Linked DNA regions of Xenopus tropicalis. The main gene of each other region encodes a partner of the protein of the gene in region 2 in a complex. Links are inferred from orthologs where the notes say so. Each region holds a gene or a part of one and is shown on either strand. Other genes may lie near its edges.

Region 1 (3,500 bases), on a different chromosome or scaffold from region 2:
CAGACTCAGGCACACTTTACTGCTGTGCTGCAAGTTGGAGTGATATCCCCCACCTCACCCCCAGCAGCCGATCAGCAGAACAATGGGAAGGGAGCAAGATAGCAGCTCCCAGTAGGTATCAGAATAGCACTCAATAGTAAGAAATCCAAGTCCGGCTTGGGACTCCTCCAGTTACATGGGAGTAGGAGAAACAATAGGTTAGCTGAAAGCAGTTCTAATGTGTAGCGCTGGCTGAAAGCTCAGACTCAGGCACACTTTACTGCTGTGCTGCAAGTTGGAGTGATATCCCCCACCTCACCCCCAGCAGCCGATCAGCAGAACAATGGGAAGGGAGCAAGATAGCAGCTCCCAGTAGGTATCAGAATAGCACTCAATAGTAAGAAATCCAAGTCCGGCTTGGGACTCCCCCAGTTACATGGGAGTAGGAGAAACAATAGGTTAGCTGAAAGCAGTTCTAATGTGTAGCGCTGGCTACAGTAAAACACAAAGCCCCTATAAAGGATACAGTAGATTAATTGCATAGTTTGGGGCCTGACATGTTGCCAGTCCCGTTCCCCACAGGGCATTTGGCTTTCTGGGTATGTGTAGCAGTGAGCCCAGTTAGTAGGGTTTGTGGGGTTACAGTGTGAGTAAGAGATGTCTCGTTGCTCTTTGTAGTCTCACAGAGTCGCCCTTTAAAGTTCACGTGGAGAAGCTGAGCCTGGAGCAGAAGACCAAAGACCTGCAGTCCTACTTGCTGCCGCTGGAGATAGAGCTGAAGAACAGCACCGTGGACAAATCCGGCCCATGCCCCCACTTCAGGCCCAACCCAGGAGTCACTGCCATTCACGACTATGCCGGCTGGGTCAGGAACTTCTCCAGTGAAGCCGCAGAGGTTGAAGGTGAGTTAAGAACAACGTGGGCCCTTCCCTAGTGTCCCCGCCCACTAGTGCAGTGCCCGCCCCTTCTGTTATCCCAGCGCAGTCACCGTTGGTTTCTCCCTTACACAGCGGTGGTGAAACAGTGGGGCTTGACATGGACCTTGTGTGAGTCCCTGTGGGGCCAACTGAAGGAGCTGGAGGCCAGTCTCGATGAGCCAAACGAGTACGTGAAGAACCTTGAGAGGCGGAAGGCTTTCTCCCACTGGCTGGCACAGACGGCCCAGGAGCGGATAGAGGAAGAGGTGTCTCTGTACGGCCCAGAGCGGCACATCGAAGCGGTGTTTAGCTACCTTACCGGGGGCAGGATCAGCGACGCGTGCCGCCTGGCACAGAAATCTGGTGAGTGTGACCCCTTTCTCCCAGGGAATCGCCCGGTTTTGCCTCTGGAAATAGTTCCTTAGGCCTGAAACTGCAGGAAAAAGCAATATATTTACATGTGATGTATATGGATTCAGGGCATTTCTAATAGATATATCTCTGTGATATATAGGATATTTTATATCTAATCTCTATCTATCCAGTAGATCTCCCATCTATCTATATATCTGTATAATAGAGCCTTCCCTCACCAGTAGTAGAACCTGGTGCCGATAGTGTCCCTCAGACTCTAGCAAAGCAGATGGGGCCCTGGAGTGAGCAGTGTGAGTGCCGTATTTCTGACCCAGGCTATTCCTACCCCTGCAGGGGATCACAGGCTGTCCCTCCTGCTCTCTCAGATGGTGGGCAGCCAGGAAGTGCGGGATCTCATAACCCTACAGTTGGTCGACTGGAACAAGCTGCAGGTGGATCACTACATCCAAGAAGAGCGGTTGCGCGTGTTCTGCCTGCTCTCGGGCACCCCGGTAAGTCATTATTTGGCTAATTACGTCTTATGTATTGGTCTCATTATGTTGGAAAACCATTGGCATATACAGGATCCTTCTAATGGGGCCCTCTGATTGGCTCCTGTGTGTATTTACGGCTTGCTCTCACTGTTGTTCCTGTGTGCCCCTAGGTGTGGCGCTCTTCAGATAACAGAAGCATCAATGTCTGCTCTCAGTTGGACTGGAAGCGAACGCTGGGCATTCATCTGTGGTACATGCTCCCACCCACCGCCACCGTGGCACAGGCCTTACACATGTACGAGCAGGCCTTTCAGGTAAGGAGTCTGCCTCCTAATGGGGCAAATCCAGTACTGCAGCCGTCTAATGGGGCAGCACCGATTGCACCCAAGTTAATGGGATGAATTTGTACTAAATCCTGCTTTTCTCTCTGTAACATTGGCAGGAACAGGAGGGCGGGGAGCCTTACGCCTGCTACCCTCTGCCCCCCTATTTGGAAGACTGCGGCTTCAGCTTTGGGGATGACCCTTCTGCTAAATTCTGCTCCCTGCAAAGAGACGTCTGTGTCCATTTGCTGAAACTGTACAGTGAGAGGTAAGCGAGGCCTTTACACACATGTTATGCCTGCAATTATGCATGATTTAGTGTCTATAAGCTCAGTCCCAGACTGCAGGCAGTATCTTGGTGCTTGTCTGTATACTGTACAGCACTGCCAGATGCCCTGTAGGGGGCGCAGTCTGTAACTGGGTACCTGAGAGGCAGTGTCTGTGCTGAGCTGGGAGTATCCTGTGTTGGCCTTTCCCAGTCCCTTAGGGCTGATTGGTGCTTATAGTAAATGAAGGTGCCCATACATGGGCAGATCGGGTCCTTCAGACCCATTTGGCAACTTATGTGCTCATGTATGGGCACCACAGATGGGTCTACCCAATAGATATCTGGTCTAAAATTGGCCAGATATTGATTGGCATGGGGGCCCCCACTACTCGTTGATGCAGTCCCTGATCCAACAGCGCCTATGCCCGCCTTTGTTACTCGATCATTTGTCCCTTGGGCCAAACAATCAAATTAGCCCAGTATTGCCCAATGTAGGGTGGTACTTACCATCTATGGCCGCCTATAAGGAATGAAATGGTTGTATTGCAGTGATTCTATTGGCTCCTGGATTCACTTGGAGTTGTGTGTGTTTTTGCCCAGGCAGTATGATCTTTGCCAGCTGCTAGACCCCAGCAGTGCCACCCCCGACCCCCTGGACTACAGGCTCAGCTGGCACATGTGGATGGTCCTGCAGGCTCTGAATTATACCCATCTGTCTGGGCATCGCCAGGGGATGCTGCACGCCAGTTACGCTGCCCAGCTGGAGAATGTGGGGCTCTGGGAATGGGCCATATTCGTACTGCTGCACATCCAGGATCCGCAGTAAGTGATTGGCCGCTTGTGTCTGGGCGCCAGTCTGGCCCCCTCTGTAGAACCCCCGGCAGCTGGAACTGAACCCTCTTTCTCCTTCTGCCCGTGCAGCGTCCGTGAAGCAGCCGTCCGGGAGTTGCTGAATAGGCACTGCGTTGTGCACGACAGCCCCGAGTCCCTGGCCAAAGAGAACTTCCTAATTCAGAGACTCTGCCTCCCAGCACAATGGATCCACAAAGCGAAAGCGGTCCGCTCCCGGCGGGATGGGGACAAGCATAAAGAGGCCTTGTATTTACTCAAGAGCCACCAGTGGAACCAGTGCCACAAACTGGTGACCCGCCACTTGGCCGCAGGT
Region 2 (3,500 bases):
GAACATCATAGAAGGAGACAAAAGTTCCCTGTTCAGCAGAAGTCATACAGACGGATAGTGTCAGATTGTCAGAGCTCAGGGCCAAATGGTGAATGGGACAACTCATAGGCACGTGTATACCTTGGGGTCCCATAACTGCAGAGGAAAGTAACAGAAAACAATATTAAAATGCAGCAATATAGTAGTTAAAAGTTTTTCTTTAAAAAAAAAAAAAAAAAAGTGTCCAAATGTTGATTGGGTTCAAACTTTGCTTAGTGTTTATAAATTTAGCAACTTTTTGAGCTCATTCAGTTGCAAGAAACCTAAACTTCCAAATGCCATCCCACCGGCAACAATGTAAATCGCCGATGGGATGGCATCCTGAAGTTGTGTTGAGAGGAAAAATCAGGAAATTGTAGCAACGCGTATGCCATGCCACCGGCGATTTACATTCTTGGCGGTGGGATGGCATTGCGGGCAGATTAGTCGCCCGCGGCTACGAAGATTTGTGGTAGGGCGACTGATCTCCCTGTCTGGTACTGCCATTGTGGGTGCCGTACAGATTACCTGGAGAGCAAAGGGACTTTAATTGGGAAATGGTTCGTATGAGTCAAAGACAGGCTATTATGGTTTCCATTCAGTCTGTGGAACCAGGTACAGTATGTCTATGTAAAATCTGGCGCACCTCCCTACCTCTTGGCACATAGGTGCACATGGGTGGACATGGGTGGACATGGGAGCTGTGATGTCATTTTGGCACCAAATTGAAATTTAAAAAAAGGTCCTTCCACCTTGTATTCCATACCAAAGCTAGCTCGGTATCCCTACAGTCCTGCCTAACCCTTTAATTCCTATTTGCTGTGTCCTGTCTCCTAGCCTGGTTTTGACCATGATTCTGCCTGACACTCTTCTGAACCATGTTTCTGGATCAAACTCCAGGTACTACAGGTTCCTCCCACACTCCAAAATATACTGGCAGGTTATAGAAACCAACTACATTAAAGTCATCCCCATTCCATTTGGAAATATTAACCTTAAAAGCAAGCAGGTTGCAGGTAAAAGCCCCTGTGTAAAATGTATAAATGAAGCAGAAGAATTCATATTGATTCAAATGAAAGTGAGGACTGGCCAGACCAGGGTTGGCCAGCTTGAAGTATATTGTAATATGTCGCCAAACAATCCCTGTTTTGTTTAAAGGGGAAGGCATGTCTTGGTAGCTTAATGCAGAGAATGTCTTAGGGCTCTGGCACACGGGGAGATTTGTCGCCTCGCGAGGCATTTTTCGGCGATTTGCCGAAATCGCGCCGCGTGTGCCATCCCACCGGCGACTTACATGTTCGCCGGTGGGATGGCAACTCAAGGAGATTAGTCGCCCGCGAACAGGAAGATTTGTCGCGGGCGACTAATCTCCCCGTGTGCCACAGCCTGTATATTTTGATAATGGGTGAGTGCAGAGGATCTCTTGCTGCTGTCTTTAGCAGGCAGGTTTATTGGCTCCTGATACCCCAAGTGTAAATTTCATTGGGCAGGGACTAATGGGAATGATGTGTCAATTTCTGTAAAGTGCTACTGGATATGTTGGTTTTATATCAGGGGAGGCCAATATGTCGATTGCGGTCCACCAGTCGATCCCCCGTGGATTTCTGGTGGACCGAGATCAAGCCGGGGATGCGGAAATGCTCTGTGAATGCAAACGTACGCTCGCACGCCGCACTTCCGCATCGGTGCAGTTGATCGAGACTGGATCGAGTCTGGCCAACCCTGCTCTATATGAATAAAACAATAATAAAAGTCATTAAAGTTCCTGGCAGAAGATTTATATGAACCCAACTTTGTGTGGATGAAATGCCAATTTTATAACAAACACATGTAACACTGACCATCTTTTGATGATATTATACAGACATCAAATTACCAATTTTATTTGCATCTTCCCCGGGTCTGACTGCTACAAGAACATCCTTTGTGTGGAAAAACTTTAATCCCATAGGGCCTCCCACGAACAGAAAACCATACTTGTTCGAGATCACAAGCAGGTTGGAGCGTTCCTTGGGAAGATCTACTGGAGAGTCAAACAGTCGGATCTTTTTTAGCTGTCGGAACTGGAAATCCTGTAAGGACAAAAAGATACAAAATTTTAGTAAAAGTATGGGATCCCTTATCCGGAAACCCGTTATCCAGAAAGCTCCGAATTACGGAAGCCCGTCTCCCATAGACTCCATTTTAATCAAATAATTCAGAATTTTAAAATGAATTACCTTTTTCTCTGTAATAATAAAACTGTACACCTTGTAATTGATCCCAACTAAGATATAATTACCCCTTATTGGGGGCAGAACAGCCCTATTGGGTTTATTTAATGGTTAAATGATTCCCTTTTCTCTGTAATAATAAAACAGTACCTGTACTTGGTCCCAACTAAGATATAATTACCCCTTATTGGGGCAGAACAGCCCTATTGGGTTTATTTCATGGTTAAATGATTCCCTTTTCTCTGTAATAATAAAACAGTACCTGTACTTGATCCCAACTAAGATATAATTACCCCTTATTGGGGGCAGAACAGCCCTATTGGGTTTATTTAATGGTTAAATGATTCCCTTTTCTCTGTAATAATAAAACAGTACCTGTACTTGATCCCAACTAAGATATAATTACCCCTTATTGGGGGCAAAACAGCCCTATTGGGTTTATTTAATGGTTAAATGATTCCCTTTTCTCTGTAATAATAAAACAGTACCTGTACTTGATCCCAACTAAGATATAATTACCCCTTATTGGGGCAGAACAGCCCTATTGGGTTTATTTCATGGTTAAATGATTCCCTTTTCTCTGTAATAATAAAACAGTACCTGTAATTGATCTCAACTAAGATATAATTACCCCTTATTGGGGCAGAACAGCCCTATTGGGTTTATTTAATGGTTAAATGATTCCCTTTTCTCTGTAATAATAAAACAGTACCTGTACTTGATCCCAACTAAGATATAATTACCCCTTATTGGGGCAGAACAGCCCTATTGGGTTTATTTAATGGTTAAATGATTCCCTTTTCTCTGTAATAATAAAACAGTACCTGTACTTGATCCCAACTAAGATATAGATAATCCTAATTGCATGCAAAACAACCCTATTGGGTTTATTATTATTATTAACATTTATTTATAAAGCGCCAACATATCCCGCAGCGCTGTACAATAAGTGGGTTACATACATTGGACATACAGAGTAACATATAAAGCAACCAATAACCGATACAAGAGGTGAAGAGAGAACTGCCCAAAAGAGCTTACAATCTACTGTTTTATTGATTTTTTAGTAGACTTAAGGTATAGAGATCCAAATTATGAAAGACCCCTTATCCGGAATACCCTTGGTCCCAAGCATTCTGGATAACGGGTCCTATACCTGTACCTAAAAGATCCGGAGAAGATCACCTTGTTTGGAAAGGTCACCAAATAAGTGGATCTTTCCCAGATATGCCCACCTTGGACCAACAACTGGATCACATTGACAGGGTA
Region 3 (4,207 bases), on a different chromosome or scaffold from region 2:
CACAAAATACGTATAGGATAAATCACATGAAAGAGAAACTGAAGACTAAAGGTGGCCATACACTGTAAGATTCACTGGTTTGGCAAGGTCACCAAAAGAGCGGATCTTCTTCCAATTACCCACCTTAGGTGGGCAATATTGGGCCAATTAGACAGTGCCGTCGGACCGAGGACCGCATCGGCTTGTTCATCCAATGGAAAAATCAAACCTGTCGGAATCTGCACAATTTTAGGCCAGATGTCAGTTGGCTAGGCTTGTCGGGGGTTCCCATACACGGGCAGATAAGCTGCCCCTAAGGCCTTAAGGACCTGAATCGGCAGCTGAAATCTGCCTGTGTTGTGCCGCCTTAATGCCTTCTGTAGAATGGATTGTCTTACCATAGACATGTTTGCCAAACGCCCAGGAGTCTGTACCAAGCGAGGTGATCGCCCTACAGTGCCCAGTATTGCCGAAACATCTGGTGGCCTTGAAGAATTCCAGGTTTGTGGCGTCACTAGGTAAAGGTGAAAAGTACATTTACATACCAGAAAGCAAAAAAAAAAAAAAAAGACTTTCACAGCATAAATACTATGTTCAGTATTACTTTTTTCTTATATCCAAACTGTAATAAACTGCAGCTCTGACAAAATCCTTAAGCCATATTTTGAAAAGAGAGATGAGCTTTCCATAGATAAGGGTTGTTTACTGTGGGGGATACGGGTTGTCATTCCCCCAAAATATCGTCAGAGGCTCTTGCATGAACTTCACGAAGGCCATCCAGGTGTAAACAGGATGAAAGCACGAGCTCGTGTTACAGAAGCACAAGCAGTACACTGACTTACAAAAAATTCTATATCTTGATCCAGGCCTGGCCACCACAGGTAACCACAAGCTTGTGCTTTCATCCTGTTTACACCTGGATGGCCTTCGTGAAGTTCATGCAAGAGCCTCTGACGATATTTTAGGGGGAATGACAACCCGTATCCCCCACAGTAAACAACCTTGATCTATGGAAAGCTCATCTCTCTTTTCAAGATATGGCTTAAGGATTTTGTCAGAGCTGTAGTTCGAGAGACCCTCTCTCAGCATTATAAATCTCATCCTCGCCCCCACTGTAATAAACTGCTGGCTAGCAGTGGGTTAATACTGCGGCTGTGTTAGTTCAGGTAAAGTAGTCAGATACACACTGGAACTTTTGGTATATTTATTAGAACATGGCAGGTAGATTTGGCCTGCTCTCAGCTTAACAGGAAGCACAAGACAGGAATAGGAATATCATCATCAAGAAATGGCAAAACAGCAAGAATGCCCTTAACCAAAATGTCTACACAAGCAGGTTACTATACAAACTCATCTGAATTTTATAATAACCATGACTGAATGCTGATATTTGTAAAACACAAGTCAGTGGGACAGTTTCTACAAGATGAATCAAACAAGCCCATGATTATCAACTGCAGACCCAGTTTATATATAAACATCTTACTGTGCTGTCGAAATAGTGTTTGTCCTGTTGTGCGAGATAATGGGCCTCTTGCTGGTGTTGCATTGCTCCAGCTCTCATCAGCTAGGCAAGACGTTAAGTGTGGCAACAAAAGCTTTTTCTGGAATCAGTTCAATATTTCCTCTCTAAACAGTACCAGGGAAACAAGCAAGCACCGGGAAAATATTAGCCGACTTTCCAGCTTAAAGTAACTAATCATTATTGTTGTTTGCGTTTCTTATTACACTGTAATTGCATTGCCCATGCATAGCCTCAGAACAAAAAAAGAACAAAAAAGTGCAATACTGGTTCTGTTGCATTCATGTAAGGCAAAAAGTCAGGGAGTCATGACGGGGAATGCCTAAGAGACAGGGTTAACCATGTTATTTGCTTTAGAGACATGTAGGATAATGTAATAAAGGCTTAAGTTTGGTCACACATATTAACCCATAGCAGTAAGTGCTACATGCTGATTGGCTCCTATGGATTACAAGACAAGACGCATTTATTAAATTAACCCATCAAAGACAATAAAAGGCCTATTACTGTGTTTTTGGTGCAGGTACTGCTATCAAACATCTGTGGTCCATAAACAGCCTGTTAATATTAATAAAAACCCACCCAACCTACTCCTACGATGGGTTATTTCCTTAATTAGAGTAATACTCAGACACTGCAAACTTAAATATACTATCACATTTAATCAACACAGATTTAAAAATGAAGCCTTAACCATTTAAAACAAAGGGGACTCAATAAAGGAGGGGCCCTTCCATTGATTTTAGAAAAAAATGACATGCAAAACATAAACACTAATCACAAAGAAATTATAGTAATAGATAAATGACAACCAAAAATTTCTGTTAACTTCCAATGTCATTTTTGTTTGATCAAAAGCCTTCCCGTTTGATATTATTGGGGACACCAGTGATTTGTGATGATAGTTCACATTACAAAAGGATACCAGGATTCCTCCTGTTGGAGCTTTGGCGGCGAGCTGCTCTAGAAACCTCTGCCTCCCGCACTACCGGCGAAAGCATATCCATGCTGGTCCTGCTGCAAGAGAGCACAACACGGGGTCAGTCCTTCCTATGTTCGATGTGTATTCTGTGAGAAAGTCCCGCTATGATGCACACAAGGTTGCAAACATGTAACAGAAAAGTCTAGCAGACCGATACATACAGGCTAGAGGGAGAACAGTCCTTCAGTCTACTCAATAGAACGGGACTAAAACTTCTGTGAATAAGCCAGAAGTACCGAAAGCTGCAGAGAGAGAACATGTAGGTACCGTAAGCTCCCGCCCTCCCATTCAAAGTGTGCAGCGTACTGACAGCAGGGACCCTGACTAACCCCTAACTGAATACTACCCAACAGTCCCGCTTGTCGATCCCGATTTTCGTAACACAGCCAGCAGCCGCAGATTGCTACTTACACCTTTGCTACTTACTCCTCCCGTAAAGCTGTTAATTGCAAGCTCCTAGCCTCCTGTCTTACAGAAAATCCCGACTCCACATGTCTCCTCACGCGAGACTGTGACGTACAACTACACGCAAGCGTCGTGACGCATCACGTAGCCGCCTTATGGGAGTGACGAGCAGAGACAGTGCGCTACCCAGTAAGGCGGCGTTACACAATTGGTAGCTGCTAATAAGTAGCTTGGATTTGTTCTGCTCGCACTTCCTACTTTTGTTGGAGAACAAAAAGGGAAAAAAAAGACTCTTCTTAGGAGGTGATTGCTCTCCTCCACCTCGAATCTCAATATTTCCTCCAAGTCAATTATCTTTTCTGCTCAGAGATCCTTGTCATTGCCAGGGAGCTAAAAAAGAGTTTCCTGGTTGCTAACGGTACCGGCTGCCGTCAGAACCTTTTCTCCCAGTCTGACCAAAAAGGGAAGAGTTATTGTGAAAACTAGGGCCAAGTGAAATGAGGTCATGTTTTTAGGGGTTTTTTTGTACTTTGAGGGTTCTGGTGGTTTTGTGCAAACTAAGGGCTGATTTAGTAGAAGACTTAGAGGCAGGCCAAGCTTTAAGCTGGCGATTGATGAGACTAATAACCTTATAAACTAATAACCCAAAGGCTGCAAAATCTACGTTAAAGGCTGAATCGGTAGATTGGATACCTCCATATCTGACAATTCAGCTTTGAATGAAAGTGGTCGCAGGAAATAGCATAATTGCATAATTGTATTGCCACCTTTAGGCAACCTGGCCGACCACCTCACCCCCGCTGCAACCCCATCTGTGAATGAATGCACGTGGACATTGTGAAGGGGGGGAAGTGCTGCGCGCAAGGTGTGCAGACTTTGTGGGGGTGGAGCATCAGGGGCAGGGGGTAAGAGATCCCAGACCAGGAGTTGGCAAAAGCAGTACCTGTAGCATTCATGTGTAGGGGATCAGAGAACTCGATTGGCTGGATGTCCCAGTGCAGTCTGGGAGGAGGTGTGCTTAAGTTTGGAGCCAAAAATCAAGGGGCGGGTCCAGCAGTTGATAAAGGGAGCCCCTGTTGTTTTGCTGGTTTTTTTGGGAAGAGAGATACAGAGTGAGCAGCCAGTACCACTTGTTGTTAGTTCAGATTGAAAAGAGAAGAGTCTGCAGGGTTGCCAGTGATTACAAAGTCCTCTGTGGAATCAGTGTGTGTCCCCTGGTGAGAACAGTTATTGCTTGCTTGCCTGCTACGTGGGAGCAGCAACCTTTCCATAGGGGAAGGTACTCTGGGGCAGGTAGTGCTACCTGAGGGGAACTCTTG
Region 4 (3,500 bases), on a different chromosome or scaffold from region 2:
AAGATCATATTGTTCAGTTAAAGGTGTTGTTTACCATTAAATTAACTTTTGTTGTAAAGAGGGATATTCTGAGACAATTTGTAACTGGTTTTCATTTTATATTATTTGTGTTTTATAAGTTATTTTAGCTTTCTATTCACCAGCTCTCCAGTTTGGATTTTTGACAGCTATCTGGCTAGGGTCCAAATTACTCTAGCAACCAGGCAGTGATTTGAATGAGAGCTTAGAATATGAATAGGAGAAGCCTGAATAAAAACAAAAATAATAAAAAGTAGCAATAATAATTAAATTGTAGCCGCGCAAAGCAAGTTTTTTAAATACTGGGGTCATTAACCCCATGAAAGAGTCAAAAGTACAAGGCAAATCATTCAAAAGGTAAAATAAGTAACAACTGAAAAGCTGCTTAGAATTAGCCTTTCTATAACATACTAATTGTTAACTCAAAGCGCAGTGCTCCCCAAGCAGTGGCTAGTGAACATGTTCACCAAGTATAATGCCAAACAGGGCCTTCTGTAGGCTCCCAGTGCACATAGGGGCTACATAGCCAATGATAGCTCTTACTGTCACCCCCAGGAATCTTTCTCATGCTTGTGTTGCTCCCCCACACTTTTTCCATTTGAATGTGGCTCACAGGTATAAAAGGTTGGGGATCGTTGACTTAAAGGTAAACCAACCCTTTAATACTGCACTGTAGGATGCAGCACCACTAAAATTTTGCACATACCAAATGTAATTGTTTTCTAGTCTAAATTTAGCAAAACAGTAAATATATACTGTATATATACACACATATATAAATACATATATCCACTGTTAAGTTAGTTAACCCCTAAAATTTCTTTGACAAAACATGTCATTTACCCAAAATTTGCCTATCCCGGCTATTAGCAGATTTAAGGACATGTAAACCCCACACACAAAAATGTAATTAGTGAACAGCCTCTTTAAAATCTTTCAATACCTGCCACACTGGTTGTCCAGGGGTTAATAGTAAGGCTGCAACATTCCCTTAATTACTTAGATTTGTTCTCCTCCTGTAACCCACTCAGCCCCCTCCCTCAAGAATTTGCTTTGGCTTGTGGGCATGCTCAGTTGTTCTAAGCTCAGATTACTAAACATGCCCCCCAGTCTAGCAGCCAGCGAAGAGATGGCATTGCTGGTTCCCATAGAAACTCAGCTCTAGCTGTCTGCTTCAATTTTTTTTCTCCCAACCAACTCTCCTGAACTCAGCTCAAACAAAGCAGAACTTTTATCAAAGACAGTTGTGCCTGTGTGTATGCCTGTATTCTTGAGCCTGTAATCAGACGAAAAATGGCCACCGGGTGAAAGCTGCTATTTGGTTTAGGAAAATGTGATGGTGCTGGCAAGCACAGGGGATATATGCAGTACAAATGGGTGAGGGGGATGTGCCCAACTGATATACATTGTAGGCAAATGTAGCCTTCACATGTTCTTTAAGGTTGCACAACCATTCTATTTATTTAACTTGTCTTTTTAAGACTAAATGGACATTCCTCACCATTTTCTCTACCATTTAAAGTAGATAAGGCCCCTTTACCTGGATATCCGTGTCTTTAACAGGTTCCAAAGGCTCGAATGTTGTGGCTGCACTAAGACTCTCAAGCCTCTGGGAAATGTGAGAGATGTCAAGACCTCTTGATCCCAGCAGAACAGACCTTTAATAATTATAAAAAAGCGGTATATTTATTACTATATACTGTCCAACATTTAAGTAATATATAGAATGTTCTGAAAAAGGGAGTTTTGTACTTACCATAAAATGAAAGGCTAATAAATTGGCAATAAGTTAGGCACCCCCAATGAATTAAATCAGACTAGCGCTTCACAAAAATCCACCAGCCCCAACTTGGTCAGGCCCTGAGCAGGAGTCATTGTTTAAAGTCTGCAGGGTCTTTATCTCAATGGTTGCCTGTGCCCACCAACCTATGCAAAAGAATATATTTTGCTACACTGCCCTCCACTGTACTAAGATTTCACTCCACAACCTTATAGTCACTACTGTTCACATCCAAAACCTGAAAGCCCTTTCTCAGCACCTTTCCTCATAAACATCATCGGTGCCATGTGTAAAGCAACCACTTTACAACCTAGTATTCCTCTGTAATGTTGCTCCTAGGAAAAAAACACCACATTTATTCATGCAGCATTTATTAAAAGGGTTGTTTAGTAATTGCTACTTGAAGCTGTGCTCAAAATGCCTGTAGTAGATCTTTCAATTACCATGATCAGAATTTTTTTCCAAAGTTTGCCTGTATTGCGATCATCATCCAAAAATAACTGGCCTTATGGGATGAAACCCAAGCTTCTTTAGCAAAGTTATAAGTTATCAAAATACCATGTGACAGTCCTTAATCAAAAATAACTGGTACTTACGCTTTCACATTGGCTGACTCCTGAGAAGTGCGAGTCATGGTTTTGGAGCGCAACCTCTCACCAGCCTGCTGGATCTCCTGTAGGTTCCTCTCTACATGAGGTAGTTCAGTAACTCCTTCTGTTTCTGCAGCAAGCTGCTCAGCCTGCTGCAGAAGCTCTCCAAACCCTTCTCCATCCATTGTCACAGGAGATCTGCAAAACAGAGCATATAGAGTATACTATTACAATGCACTTCCAAACAGGCTTTATGCCCAGTAAAAGCAATGCCATCAACTTGAGAAGGTTATATATATACCTTCAAATTGATCGCCACAATTCCAGCTTCAGAGTTCTGGCATCTCTGGATGCCACCAAAGCATTTAACTTGGTCAAATAGTCATATTTATGGAAAGTATTTGAAAAATTAGGTATAGGTATCATTTTTTATTTCCTCGATAACCTATGCCATAATGGTCCACCAGTCCCCTAATATCATCGGGCTCAAGTGTAGGAGATTGGATGAAAAGGTAGCTTTATATGCAGATGAAATCCAATTACTTCTGGAGGTCCGAAATGTCAAGCCATGTTTTAGAACTAGCAGAAAGGTTCAGCGTATTAAAGGAAAACTAAACCCTAAAAATTAATATGGCTAGAAATGCCATACTTTATATAATAAACTGACTGCACTGGCTTTAAAATTTCAGCATCTCTGTAGTAGTAATGACATAGGTCTTTACAGGAGCTCCTCATCTTGGATTCTGTTAGATCTGTCTGGGACAGTGCACATGCTCAGTGTGCTCTGAGCAGCAGTTGAAAAGTTTAGGGGTTGCTGCAAATTTTCAAGCAGAAAATTAGGTTTGTCATAGAAGCTGATGCTACAGGGCTAATTTTTCAATTAGATGCAATTGCCCTGGTTTCAGATCAGCCTTTTACTGTTAAATTTATATTTTTATTTATGTAATATATTTTGAGCCGGTCCCTAACTGAAAGCAGCACAGAGAATGTGCAGTGAATCAGCAAAAAAGAAGATGGGAAGCTACTGGGCATCTTTGGAGGCACTGATCTTCCCTACTAAAAGGCTGTGGTCGCCTTGGGCTGGTACAGAAGGCCAAAACATAATGTACAAC
Region 5 (4,183 bases), on a different chromosome or scaffold from region 2:
AACTGCATCAGAACTGAATAATTAACCCTGTTGAATCCACTTATATGACAGACATATGTCATTTTCTGCTTGATAATTTGCAATGACCCCTAAGCTCAGCTTCTCAACTGCCTCTCAGAGCTCACCGAACATGTGCACTGCCCCCGACAGTTCTAACAGAATCCAAAATGGGGAGCTCCTGTGACAACTGTAAAGACCTATATTATTACTACTATAGAGATGCTGAAACTTTTGGCTAATGTCAGACAAGGCGTATGGTGTATATTTTTGGCAACCTGAAAATGCCGTAAATGCCGCCATACACCTACTACCTGTGCCTGCATCCGAATGTATGTAATACGCCCGTGTGCAAGACTTTGCATTCTCTTGCGTTTTTATATGGGTATCGGCTACATGTGCCTGCACCCGAGCGTATTCTATTCATTCGGCCTGGTCTGACATTAGCCTTAAGCCAGGTACAGAAGAACAGGAACAGCACCTCTTGTCTTTGTAAATTAAAATGCCTTTATTGCAAAGTTTTTTGGGGCAAAGAACAACAGCAGCAACCTTTAGGTCTTATGTGACCTGAAACGTTGCTGCTGTTGTTGTTTGCCCCAAAAAACTTTGCAATAAAGGCATTTTAATTTACAAAGACAAGAGGTGCTGTTCCTGTTCTTCTGTACCAGGATATGCCGATGGAAAGTGGCCATTGGGGAACCTGCACTACTTCTAACTAATCACAAGGCTTAGTGCTGACTACTACTCTCCAAATTAGCCTTAAGCCAGTCCAGTCAGTTTTTTATATAAAATATGGCATTTCTAGCCATATTCATTTTTAGGGAATAGTTTACACTAACTGGCAACCACACAATTAAAATAAAAAAACGTGGAAGCTATTAGGGAGCATGAATTGCTGCTAAAAGGTATGAGTAAATCATCCAAACTAAGTATGTTACCAGATTTACACAGGAATGGGGTTACTATCAAAATATATTTCTATCATTTTTACTTTAAAATTCAGCCCTGATATGTGGGTTAGGTGGCAGCTCCCTTCATGCTTTAGCTCGCTGTAAGGTAGTGAAGCATGCCGGGAGGTGTACTATTCAAGCGTTACGGGGCCGCTTGCATTTCTCTCGCACTGTGCATGAGTTTGAGCTTCCCGCTCCTTGTCACACTCCAAGCGCCTTGTTACGTCACTGCCTAGTAACCAGCTCATTTTTCCGGCACCTCCCCCAAGCGCCTCACTGCTCTCCAATCACAAGGCGCTGTTAGTGCCAGGCTGATCCCGTTGCTAGGGGAGAAGTTGTAACGGTAGCCAATCGGAGGCGCTGCCTTGTGTTTACGAGGTGGCGCCTAGGCCTGTAAGTGGGACAGCAGCCCCGGCTGACCGAGGGAGTGTGGCAGCGCTGTGCGTCTGTAGCGGAGGAGCGATGAGCTTGGCTGTGAGGTGGGTGCATTGGAAGCACAAAGGAAAGGGGGTTCACAGCGCTGGAAGGCTGGGACCCCTATAGAGTTAGGTTTATATAAAATAGCAGTGTCCTATCTGTGCTACTTCCAGCTTTTGTTATACTGAAACTCTCAGCGCCACATGGTGATGGGGTTAGTTGCAGTTAAACAACAGCTGGCGAGCTGCAGATTGGATATTCTTTATTAATACACTAACAATTACAAGTGTAACGCCAAATAGGTCCTTTGCCATTTGACTTACCTTTTGTGCTCTGAGCCTCATGTATGTGTTCCTTTCCCCTGAAACTGTTACCCATCAGTCTCCCTTAGCAGGGGGCTATTTATTGGTGCACTTTGTGTCAGAACTTATCTTGTCTGTGTAAATGCCTTTGTAATGTGAAAGTGAAATATAAAGTGATTATATATATATTAGTGTGTATCAGAGTGGGGGCCGGCAGAGACAGAACTGGTACAGATGTTACACTGGATTCCATACACTTTTATTGGCCCATAGAGTGAATAAGTGTGCCAATACATGAGCAGTTTGGCTTTTCTTAAAAAGACAGTAACTGGTTGGCCCCTGACTGGATGCAAAACCGTAAACGGGTACATTTGGCTATTTGGCTCTCTGTGTGGGTGGCTGAACTAAGGGAGGATCCATGCAAATGTTGCCCTGACCACACAGGCAAGTCATTACGTGTATGGCAAGCTGCATATGGAAATGCTCTCATTTCTTGTATGTTTCTGTTCTGTTCCATCATCACAGCTGACTTATGCCGGGGGACAGGGATCTTTCACTAGAGACAACTCTGGGATTTTATGTTGGTGTTTCACTAGTGAACAAATCATTTTTGGGCTCATCTGTAAAAATGTACATTATCCTAAATTATGGGCCAGGAATAGTTTATATGAATTAGGGTGCGATTTAGGTACAATGCTTATTCCTTATTTAGGTAAACTAAATAAGGCTAAAAACCACCATTCCAGGTATTTACTACAGGTGTGCAGATCCTTGAATATAAACACTTTGTATATCTAGTTGTATCCCAGATTAGAACAGATTCCCAGGTTGGAACACAGTACATCTGTCCCACTTGTATTCCAAGTGTTTAGAAATGTCAGCTAACTAGATGAGGAGTTGTAACTACTTGGGGGTTGTAGTTCTGTAATACTTGAAAAGCCACATACTGCGCTAGCAGCAACAGCCTGTTATTTGTTTTGAAATATGCTGCACTGTGTGTTTAATGGCAACAGGAAGATCAAAAGGGCACAGCACACAAAGTGTTAAACAGTGCAACCACCACCAGGCCAGAGTAACAGGAAAATTCAGTTTCAGTGTTATGTGCTTTGTATGTTTTATGTTAGTAACTCACGTCTCTCGCAGGACTGATCTAGCAGTTGACAAAACGAAAAAGAAGAAAAGAAGAGAATTAACAGAAGAACAGAAACAGGAAATAAAAGATGCATTTGAATTATTCGATACAGACAAAGATAAAGCAATAGATTATCATGAATTAAAGGTAATAAAACTTTTTCCAAGATTTGGACTTGGTGTTCTTAGTGTTCTGCCAAGCTGAATCCATGCCATGGGGCTTTAAAGGAGGGAGTCATTAGGTGGGGGTGGCATGTTTGGGTGTAGAGGTTCTCTGTTTATCTGGCTGTGGGTAATTGCTTTACAGTGTCAGCTAGGGATCCAAGTGGTTTGCAGGTTAGATTATAAATTTGATGACAAGATGAGTTTTAGGGCTGTGACACACGGGGAGATTAATCTTCCTTGTCGCGGGCGACTAATCTCCCCGAAATGCCATCCCACCGACTAGAATGTAAATTGCCGATGGGATGGCATACGTGGCGGCGCGATTTGCCGATGTCGCCGAAGTTTCCCGTGTGTCACAGCCCTTAAATGATACTTAAAATGGCCTGACTCTCTGTTAATGGTTGATTGTATGGAAACGGGATAGGGTTGCCAACTTTTCTCTTGGGCAATACCAGCCGAGACGGAAAAGTGGCAGCATGATGATGTCTGAGGGCTTAAGGAGCTGTGATGTAAAAAAGGGGCAAGTTGTGATGCAGAGGTGGTGGATCAAGCAGTGATTGGGTGAGTAGGAGTAGGCAGGTTTATAGAGTGGTTGGGGGATACAGGGGAAGCGGGGAGAGGTGGTTGGTGCAGGCTGGGGATGTTATCAGTAGGGATTACAAATATAACAGTACATTTCAGTTTCCGTGTTGCTGGTGTCTTTTTTTTTTTTTTTTTTTTGTAATAAATATATATATATATATATAGATATATATAGAATAAAACACAGCCAGCACCAAGGGTCTTGTGGTTTAAACAAATTTCCGTGTTGCTGGTGTCTTTTTTTTTTTTTTGTAATAAATATATATATATATATATATATATATATATATATATATATATATATATATATATATAGATAGATATATATAGAATAAAACACAGCCAGCACCAAGGGTCTTGTTTATAATAAATAAAATACACGGCCTGCAAGGGTGATAGTAGGGTGAGTTTTTTCATACATAATCATGTATTTTATTTACAGGTAGCAATGCGAGCTCTGGGATTTGATGTAAAAAAAGCAGATGTCCTAAAAATCCTTAAAGACTATGATGGTGAAACAACAGGCAAAATTACATTTGATGATTTTAATGAAGTTGGTAAGTGGGAAAACATGACTGCAACATACCCTAAGTTATGCATCACTTTTAACAGCCACAAGCCAGATTCCCACCCAGTGAA
Region 6 (3,958 bases), on a different chromosome or scaffold from region 2:
CATGAAACCCAAATTCATTTTTATATTAACACATCCAAACCCATTATAAAGGCATTTAAAAATCACAGCTGTCAATCATATATTGCTTGCCCCACCTCTATGCCTTAGGCATAGAGGCGGGGCAGACAATAACTTTAGCTTTCCATTCAGCACTTCCTAGACTGCACATCTCACTTCCCCCCCCCTCCTTCTCATCTAATTGTGTAGCCAGTGCATGGGCCTGGGCATCAGGTCCCCCATTCTGGCACATACACAATATTTTGGGGTGATACAAAGCTTGCCTTAATAACAGTGTCCACAAAATGGTGCCTGCCTGCTTGCTTTGACTGAGTAATTCCAAGACGGAAGGAAACAAGATTTATATTATTTATATAGAGTAAGTAAAGTTTATTTTGCTCAACTAACAATATAAAAAATAATTTGGACTTATTTCTTAGGGTGACAGGTCCGCTTTAAATAGGAGCTACCTGACACAGAGAAGTAGACCAAAAGCACCTCAAAAGCTAGACATCATGCCAAGATCCAAAGAAATTCAGGAACAAATGAGAACAAAAGTAATTGAGATCTATCAGTCTGGTAAAGGTTATAAAGCCATTTCTAAAGCTTTGGGACTCCAGCGAACCACAGTGAGAGCCATTATCCACAAATGGCAAAAACATGGAACAGTGGTGAACCTTCCCAGGAGTGGCTGGCCGACCAAAATTACCCCAAGAGCGCAGAGACAACTCATCCGAGAGGCCACAAAAGACCCCAGGACAACATCTAAAGAACTGCAGGCCTCACTTGCCTCAATTAAGGTCAGTGTTCACGACTCCACCATAAGAAAGAGACTGGGCAAAAACGGCCTGCATGGCAGATTTCCAAGGCGCAAACCACTTTTAAGCAAAAAGAACATTATGGCTCGTCTCAATTTTGCTAAAAAACATCTCAATGATTGCCAAGACTTTTGGGAAAATACCTTGTGGACCGACGAGACAAAAGTTGAACTTTTTGGAAGGTGCGTGTCCCGTTACATCTGGCGTAAAAGTAACACAGCATTTCAGAAAAAGAACATCATACCAACAGTAAAATATGGTGGTGGTAGTGTGATGGTCTGGGGTTGTTTTGCTGCTTCAGGACCTGGAAGGCTTGCTGTGATAGATGGAACCATGAATTCTACTGTCTACCAAAAAATCCTGAAGGAGAATGTCCGGCCATCTGTTCGTCAACTCAAGCTGAAGCGATCTTGGGTGCTGCAGCAGGACAATGACCCAAAACACACCAGCAAATCCACCTCTGAATGGCTGAAGAAAAACAAAATGAAGACTTTGGAGTGGCCTAGTCAAAGTCCTGACCTGAATCCTATTGAGATGTTGTGGCATGACCTTAAAAAGACGGTTCATGCTAGAAAACCCTCAAATAAAGCTGAATTACAACAATTCTGCAAAGATGAGTGGGCCAAAATTCCTCCAGAGCGCTGTAAAAGACTCGTTGCAAGTTATCGCAAACGCTTGATTGCAGTTATTGCTGCTAAGGGTGGCCCAACCAGTTATTAGGTTCAGGGGCAATTATTTTTCACACAGGGCCATGTAGGTTTGGATTTTTTTTCTCCCTAAATAATAAAAACCCTCATTTAAAAACTGCATTTTGTGTTTACTTGTGTTATCTTTGACTAATAGTTAAATGTGTTTGATGATCAGAAACATTTTGTGTGACAAACATGCACAAGAATAAGAAATCAGGAAGGGGGCAAATAGTTTTTCACACCACTGTGTATATATATATATATATATATATATATATATATATATATATATATATATATATATATATATATATATATATATATATAATATTTTGTTACATTACTAAAGTTATATATATAATAGAAAGAGGGCCGCACACATAGGGACTTGATACAAAAGAAAAAGTGGTTTTATTGAAAAAATTCCAACGTTTTGAGCACAATCTGTGCTCTTCCTCAGGGACAAACCAGCTCTGAGGAAGAGCACAGATTGTGCTCGAAACGTTGGAATTTTTTCAATAAAACCACTTTTTCTTTTGTATCAAGTCCCTGTGTGTGCGGCACTCTTTCTATTATAATTTTGTTTTTTGACCTGCACCAAGGGCATTTGGACTTGTATAGGGTGCGCTCCTCCCTGTATAATATATATATATACACACACACACACACACACACGTATATACACATGGCACTATCCAACCCCTGACAGTAAATTAAGAGTGACACCAAGTATGGCAGTTCCTACACGTCAAGAGACACACTGGGGCTCATTTACTATAAGCAGTGCAGTAACCCATAGCAACCAGGCATTTCAGTTTCTAGTTTGCGTCAGGCAGTATAAAAGCTACACTATGTGTTAAGACAGTGGCGCAAAAACGTCCAGAGTTTCTAAATGAGTGTAAATGAGTAGCCAATATATTAGTGGGACGCATGTGCTGATGGCCATTGCAGGAAAAGTGCCTCAGACCTGCCCCACTCCTGTCAGTCTATAGAACCATGTGGGCCCTGGTCTCTCCACCGCCCCCCAGAGCCAAGCGACAGACCAGTGCCCGCAGCCCTGCCAACCAATACAGCACCTGGGCGCAGACTCAAATCCCTGAAATTCCTCCTTGACGTTTCCCGCTCGGCACCAATCAATTCCATGTAACTTCTCTCTAGATTCACAGAGGCCGCCATGATTCCCCGTGTGGAGCCGCCAGCGCGCTGCACCATGGGAAGAATATTACTTCCCGCCCAATCTTCTGCTTGAAAAGATGTCATGTGACTTTCGGCCGCGGCCATGTTTCATACTGGCAAAAGTAGTCAGGAAACATTTTTTCTTGGCTCTCTGGTGTTGAAAACTCTTTCGGCTTACAGTAGAGAATGCATAGCCAGATACAGTGTGGAAAATATAATATTCTCAGTAATATCCATGGAGCTTTACTGTTAGCTTTAGTTATTTCTGAGCCTCTGTGATATTATCTGTAACCTTGAGAACAAGTAGAAGCTGTATTATCAATAAAGTATGTATGTATTTATGTATAACTTTATTTATAAAGCGCCACAAGGGTACGCAGCGCTGTACAATCTTACAGAATACAAAATTACACACAGGGAGGACAAGTGATATAATAAATAAATACAGTAAATATATATATAATAGAAAGAGTGCCGCACACATAGGGACTTGATACAAAAGAAAAAGTGGTTTTATTGAAAAAATTCCAACGTTTCGAGCACAATCTGTGCTCTTCCTCAGGGACAAACCAGGTTTGTCCCTGAGGAAGAGCACAGATTGTGCTCGAAACGTTGGAATTTTTTCAATAAAACCACTTTTTCTTTTGTATCAAGTCCCTGTGTGTGCGGCACTCTTTCTATTATATTTTTGTTTTTTGACCTGCACCAAGGGCATTTGGACTTGTATAGGGTGTGCTCCTCCCTGTATACTGTAAATATATATATATATAAGTGCCATGTGGTATGAGACACAGTGGGAAGGAGGTCCCTGCCCCGTAGAGCTTACAATCTAAGTGTTTATTTTCGCCTACAGCTAAGGTTGTCGTATTTCCGGGACTGAAGTTACAGTAAAGGGAGCTCCTAAAATCCACACTGAGGCCCATTAAGGAATATCCTGCAGGCTAGAACTGCACCACCATTCTGACCAATAGCCTGCCCAGGGAGGGATTTCATAAAATTGATATTAAGATGAAATTTGAGTCAAATATTTATTTACAACAGAACTGAATGGTAAATTCACAGTTGTCTGAATGCTATTTTTTCCCTCTTCTCCGAAATTTCACCAGTCTAATCCATCTTTCTTAATTTGCATTATCAACTCCAACAAAATGGAGTTAAATAAGTCCAAAAACATATGCCGACTTTAATGTGGCACAAGTTGTACTAGATTTTTTTATCTAGTATGACATATTGTGTAAAAAAAATGTGAAATTAATTTGAATTTTATGTTACTTTAAT
Region 7 (3,500 bases), on a different chromosome or scaffold from region 2:
TCCCATGGTAGAGATATCTGAAGGATACAGAGAAGCACTCAGTAAGATCAGGAAGGCATGTAACTGATGCATGTAAAAGGCGTGAACTAGAGATAATGGGTGTGCATTAATGACCAAAGAGGTGGGCGACATCTAGCCTTCCATGTTGTCAGACTGCAGTCTTAATTGGCCATACACGGGCCGATTGTAGCTGCTGATAAGTGTCCCTTGGACCGATTCGGCAGCTTATCAGCCTGTGTAGGGGCAATAACGACAGGTCTGCCCGACCGATATCTGGCCTGAAATCGGCCAGATATTGATCGGGCAGGTTAAAAAATCCAGTCGGATCGGGGACCGCATCAGCTCGTTGGTGCGGTCCCCGAACCGACTGCACCCATTACAGTTGTTATAATTCGATCGTTTGGTCCCAGGGCAAAACGACCGATTTAGCCTAAATTCCCCCGATATTGCCCACCCGTAGGTGGGGATATCGCGAGAAGATCCCTTGCCAGGCGAGCGGACCTTTACGTGTATGGCCACCTTTAGGACCCACTCACCGAGCAATATTGATGACATTATCAGCTTTCTTGGATCGTGGGTTAATTCCCTGCAGGAGCTGCTCCAGAGGGGTCACAATCAACGACAGGTGACTTTCCCTCAACAAATCCATGAAGCGATTCTCCTTCTGCAGAGTCTGATTGAGGAGCATGAAACAATAAGCCACTGCTTTCTCTAGGTGTTTCTTGCCTGGGAAAGAAGGAATACATATATTTAATAGGTTGTACTTATGTTCTGTCTAAAGGCAAAAGCTCAAAGTTCTGTTTTAGTGTAAAAGACTGGACGATTACCTGGAAAAGGGGCGTAAGTGTCCAGCTGGGTGACCCCCTCTTCCATGAGGCTGAGGCAGAGCTCCAGCATCGGAGAATCATTGAGAAGGTGATGCATGAGGCTGAACCCCGGGGGCTTGAAAGCAACTCTTTCTTCTCCTAAAACAGGACATGAACGGTAAAATGATGTTGCCTTTTTATTGTCAATTCTATAAACCGGCTGAAAAGGCAAAACATACCTTGGAGTTCCACATACTGGTCCACAAAGTCTTCAGGCTGGGGCTCATAGTCCTTCAAAAGCTTGTAGAAGACATCCAGTACAGCCTCTGCTACCTCCCACTGCAAACACAGAGGCATAAATACATAAGTGAGGAAAATACATGGGTTCAAGGTGGTATCCCAGTAATACCCAAACCCCAGAATGCACGTAAGCATAAATATCATTAATTACCTTTTCTGCGCCTCTCCTGTAGGCTCTAGTGCGGAACCGAAGGAACACAGTGTCCCGTAGAAACTGGAGGTATGGCTCAAAGCCGGGTGCTCTCAAACCCGCTCCCAGATTGGTGGGGAAGGAGCTCTCCACTAAAGTGCTAATGAGCTGGCAGAATGCTCTGGTCAGGGGGTACTCCTCACACCGAGACTCGATCTCATTCAGTTCCACCTGGTTAAAGCCAATGTCAAATCTTGGATTATCGCAAAGGAATGTACCCCCATACTGTACTGTCTAACGGAAACACTATGGCACCCCCTACCCATATGTATAAATACAAATATACAGAGAGGGAATGTTCTGGGCACACAATAAGCTGTACCCCCATACTGTACTGTCTAACGGAAACACTATGGCACCCCCTACCCATATGTATAAATACAAATATACAGAGAGGGAATGTTCTGGGCACACAATAAGCTGTACCCCCATACTGTACTGTCTAAGGGAAACACTATGGCACCCCCTACCCATATGTATAAATACAAATATACAGAGAAGGAATGTTCTGGGCACACAATAAGCTGTACCCCCATACTGTACTGTCTAAGGGAAACACTATGGCACCCCCTACCCATATGTATAAATACAAATATACAGAGAAGAAATGTTCTGGGCACACAATAAGCTGTACCCCCATACTGTACTGTCTAAGGGAAACACTATGGCACCCCCTACCCATATGTATAAATACAAATATACAGAGAAGGAATGTTCTGGGCACACAATAAGCTGTACCCCCATACTGTACTGTCTAACGGAAACACTATGGCACCCCCTACCCATATGTATAAATACAAATATACAGAGAAGGAATGTTCTGGGCACACAATAAGCTGTACCCCCATACTGTACTGTCTAAGGGAAACACTATGGCACCTCCTACCCATATGTATAAATACAAATATACAGAGAAGGAATGTTCTGGGCACACAATAAGCTGTACCCCCATACTGTACTGTCTAACGGAAACACTATGGCACCCCCTACCCATATGTATAAATACAAATATACAGAGAAGGAATGTTCTGGGCACACAATAAGCTGTACCCCCCCCCCCATACTGTACTGTCTAAGGGAAACACTATGGCACCTCCCTCCCATATGTATAAATACAAATATACAGAGAAGGAATGTTCTGGGCACACAATAAGCTGTACCCCCATACTGTACTGTCTAAGGGAAACACTATGGCACCCCCTACCCATATGTATAAATACAAATATACAGAGAAGGAATGTTCTGGGCACACAATAAGCTGTACCCCCATACTGTACTGTCTAAGGGAAACACTATGGCACCTCCCTCCCATATGTATAAATACAAATATACAGAGAAGGAATGTTCTGGGCACACAATAAGCTGTACCCCCATACTGTACTGTCTAAGGGAAACACTATGGCACCCCCTACCCATATGTATAAATACAAATATACAGAGAGGGAATGTTCTGGGCACACAATAAGCTGTACCCCCCCCCCCCATACTGTACTGTCTAAGGGAAACACTATGGCACCTCCCTCCCATATGTATAAATACAAATATACAGAGAAGGAATGTTCTGGGCACACAATAAGCTGTACCCCCATACTGTACTGTCTAAGGGAAACACTATGGCACCTCCTACCCATATGTATAAATACAAATATACAGAGAAGGAATGTTCTGGGCACACAATAAGCTGTACCCCCATACTGTACTGTCTAAGGGAAACACTATGGCACCCCCTACCCATATGTATAAATACAAATATACAGAGAAGGAATGTTCTGGGCACACAATAAGCTGTACCCCCATACTGTACTGTCTAAGGGAAACACTATGGCACCTCCTACCCATATGTATAAATACAAATATACAGAGAAGGAATGTTCTGGGCACACAATAAGCTGTACCCCCATACTGTACTGTCTAAGGGAAACACTATGGCACCCCCTACCCATATGTATAAATACAAATATACAGAGAAGGAATGTTCTGGGCACACAATAAGCTGTACCCCCATACTGTACTGTCTAAGGGAAACACTATGGCACCTCCCTCCCATATGTATAAATACAAATATACAGAGAAGGAATGTTCTGGGCACACAATAAGCTGTACCCCCATACTGTACTGTCTAAGGGAAACACTATGGCACCCCCTACCCATATGTATAAATACAAATATACAGAGAGGGAATGTTCTGGGCACACAATAAGCTG

Evidence for each region.
Region 1: nup214 (region 2) and nup98 share a complex: the UniProt entries of both Homo sapiens proteins name them as parts of the nuclear pore complex. The link is inferred for Xenopus tropicalis from reciprocal best matches to the Homo sapiens genes NUP214 and NUP98.
Region 3: nup214 (region 2) and nup107 share a complex: the UniProt entries of both Homo sapiens proteins name them as parts of the nuclear pore complex. The link is inferred for Xenopus tropicalis from reciprocal best matches to the Homo sapiens genes NUP214 and NUP107.
Region 4: nup214 (region 2) and nup93 share a complex: the UniProt entries of both Homo sapiens proteins name them as parts of the nuclear pore complex. The link is inferred for Xenopus tropicalis from reciprocal best matches to the Homo sapiens genes NUP214 and NUP93.
Region 5: nup214 (region 2) and cetn3 share a complex: the UniProt entries of both Homo sapiens proteins name them as parts of the nuclear pore complex. The link is inferred for Xenopus tropicalis from reciprocal best matches to the Homo sapiens genes NUP214 and CETN3.
Region 6: nup214 (region 2) and nup160 share a complex: the UniProt entries of both Homo sapiens proteins name them as parts of the nuclear pore complex. The link is inferred for Xenopus tropicalis from reciprocal best matches to the Homo sapiens genes NUP214 and NUP160.
Region 7: nup214 (region 2) and nup205 share a complex: the UniProt entries of both Homo sapiens proteins name them as parts of the nuclear pore complex. The link is inferred for Xenopus tropicalis from reciprocal best matches to the Homo sapiens genes NUP214 and NUP205.

What each region holds. Positions count from the first base shown.
Region 1 is NC_030678.2:177,435,280-177,438,779, reverse strand, and holds part of nup98 (nuclear pore complex protein Nup98-Nup96), read left to right. Parts: intron 1-657; coding exon 658-881; intron 882-989; coding exon 990-1,259; intron 1,260-1,604; coding exon 1,605-1,762; intron 1,763-1,914; coding exon 1,915-2,058; intron 2,059-2,186; coding exon 2,187-2,335; intron 2,336-2,935; coding exon 2,936-3,157; intron 3,158-3,256; coding exon 3,257-3,498; intron 3,499-3,500. UniProt on the Homo sapiens protein: Plays a role in the nuclear pore complex (NPC) assembly and/or maintenance. NUP98 and NUP96 are involved in the bidirectional transport across the NPC. May anchor NUP153 and TPR to the NPC.
Region 2 is NC_030684.2:12,406,364-12,409,863, forward strand, and holds part of nup214 (nuclear pore complex protein Nup214), read right to left. Parts: intron 2,091-3,500; coding exon 1,895-2,090; intron 136-1,894; coding exon 1-135. UniProt on the Homo sapiens protein: Part of the nuclear pore complex. Has a critical role in nucleocytoplasmic transport.
Region 3 is NC_030679.2:58,822,426-58,826,632, reverse strand, and holds the start of nup107 (nuclear pore complex protein Nup107), read right to left. Parts: upstream 2,801-4,207; 5' UTR 2,743-2,800; coding exon 2,645-2,742; intron 2,519-2,644; coding exon 2,427-2,518; intron 1,547-2,426; coding exon 1,466-1,546; intron 494-1,465; coding exon 378-493; intron 1-377. UniProt on the Homo sapiens protein: Plays a role in the nuclear pore complex (NPC) assembly and/or maintenance. Required for the assembly of peripheral proteins into the NPC. May anchor NUP62 to the NPC. Involved in nephrogenesis.
Region 4 is NC_030680.2:43,618,648-43,622,147, reverse strand, and holds part of nup93 (nuclear pore complex protein Nup93), read right to left. Parts: intron 2,587-3,500; 5' UTR 2,574-2,586; coding exon 2,395-2,573; intron 1,677-2,394; coding exon 1,559-1,676; intron 1-1,558. UniProt on the Homo sapiens protein: Plays a role in the nuclear pore complex (NPC) assembly and/or maintenance. May anchor nucleoporins, but not NUP153 and TPR, to the NPC. During renal development, regulates podocyte migration and proliferation through SMAD4 signaling.
Region 5 is NC_030677.2:178,970,906-178,975,088, forward strand, and holds the start of cetn3 (centrin-3), read left to right. Parts: upstream 1-1,383; 5' UTR 1,384-1,409; coding exon 1,410-1,426; intron 1,427-2,809; coding exon 2,810-2,945; intron 2,946-3,986; coding exon 3,987-4,101; intron 4,102-4,183. UniProt on the Homo sapiens protein: Plays a fundamental role in microtubule-organizing center structure and function. As a component of the TREX-2 complex, involved in the export of mRNAs to the cytoplasm through the nuclear pores.
Region 6 is NC_030680.2:15,976,507-15,980,464, reverse strand, and holds the start of nup160 (nuclear pore complex protein Nup160), read right to left. Parts: upstream 2,801-3,958; 5' UTR 2,786-2,800; coding exon 2,581-2,785; intron 1-2,580. UniProt on the Homo sapiens protein: Functions as a component of the nuclear pore complex (NPC). Involved in poly(A)+ RNA transport.
Region 7 is NC_030679.2:6,637,403-6,640,902, forward strand, and holds part of nup205 (nuclear pore complex protein Nup205), read right to left. Parts: intron 1,468-3,500; coding exon 1,258-1,467; intron 1,146-1,257; coding exon 1,046-1,145; intron 966-1,045; coding exon 828-965; intron 727-827; coding exon 537-726; intron 18-536; coding exon 1-17. UniProt on the Homo sapiens protein: Plays a role in the nuclear pore complex (NPC) assembly and/or maintenance. May anchor NUP62 and other nucleoporins, but not NUP153 and TPR, to the NPC.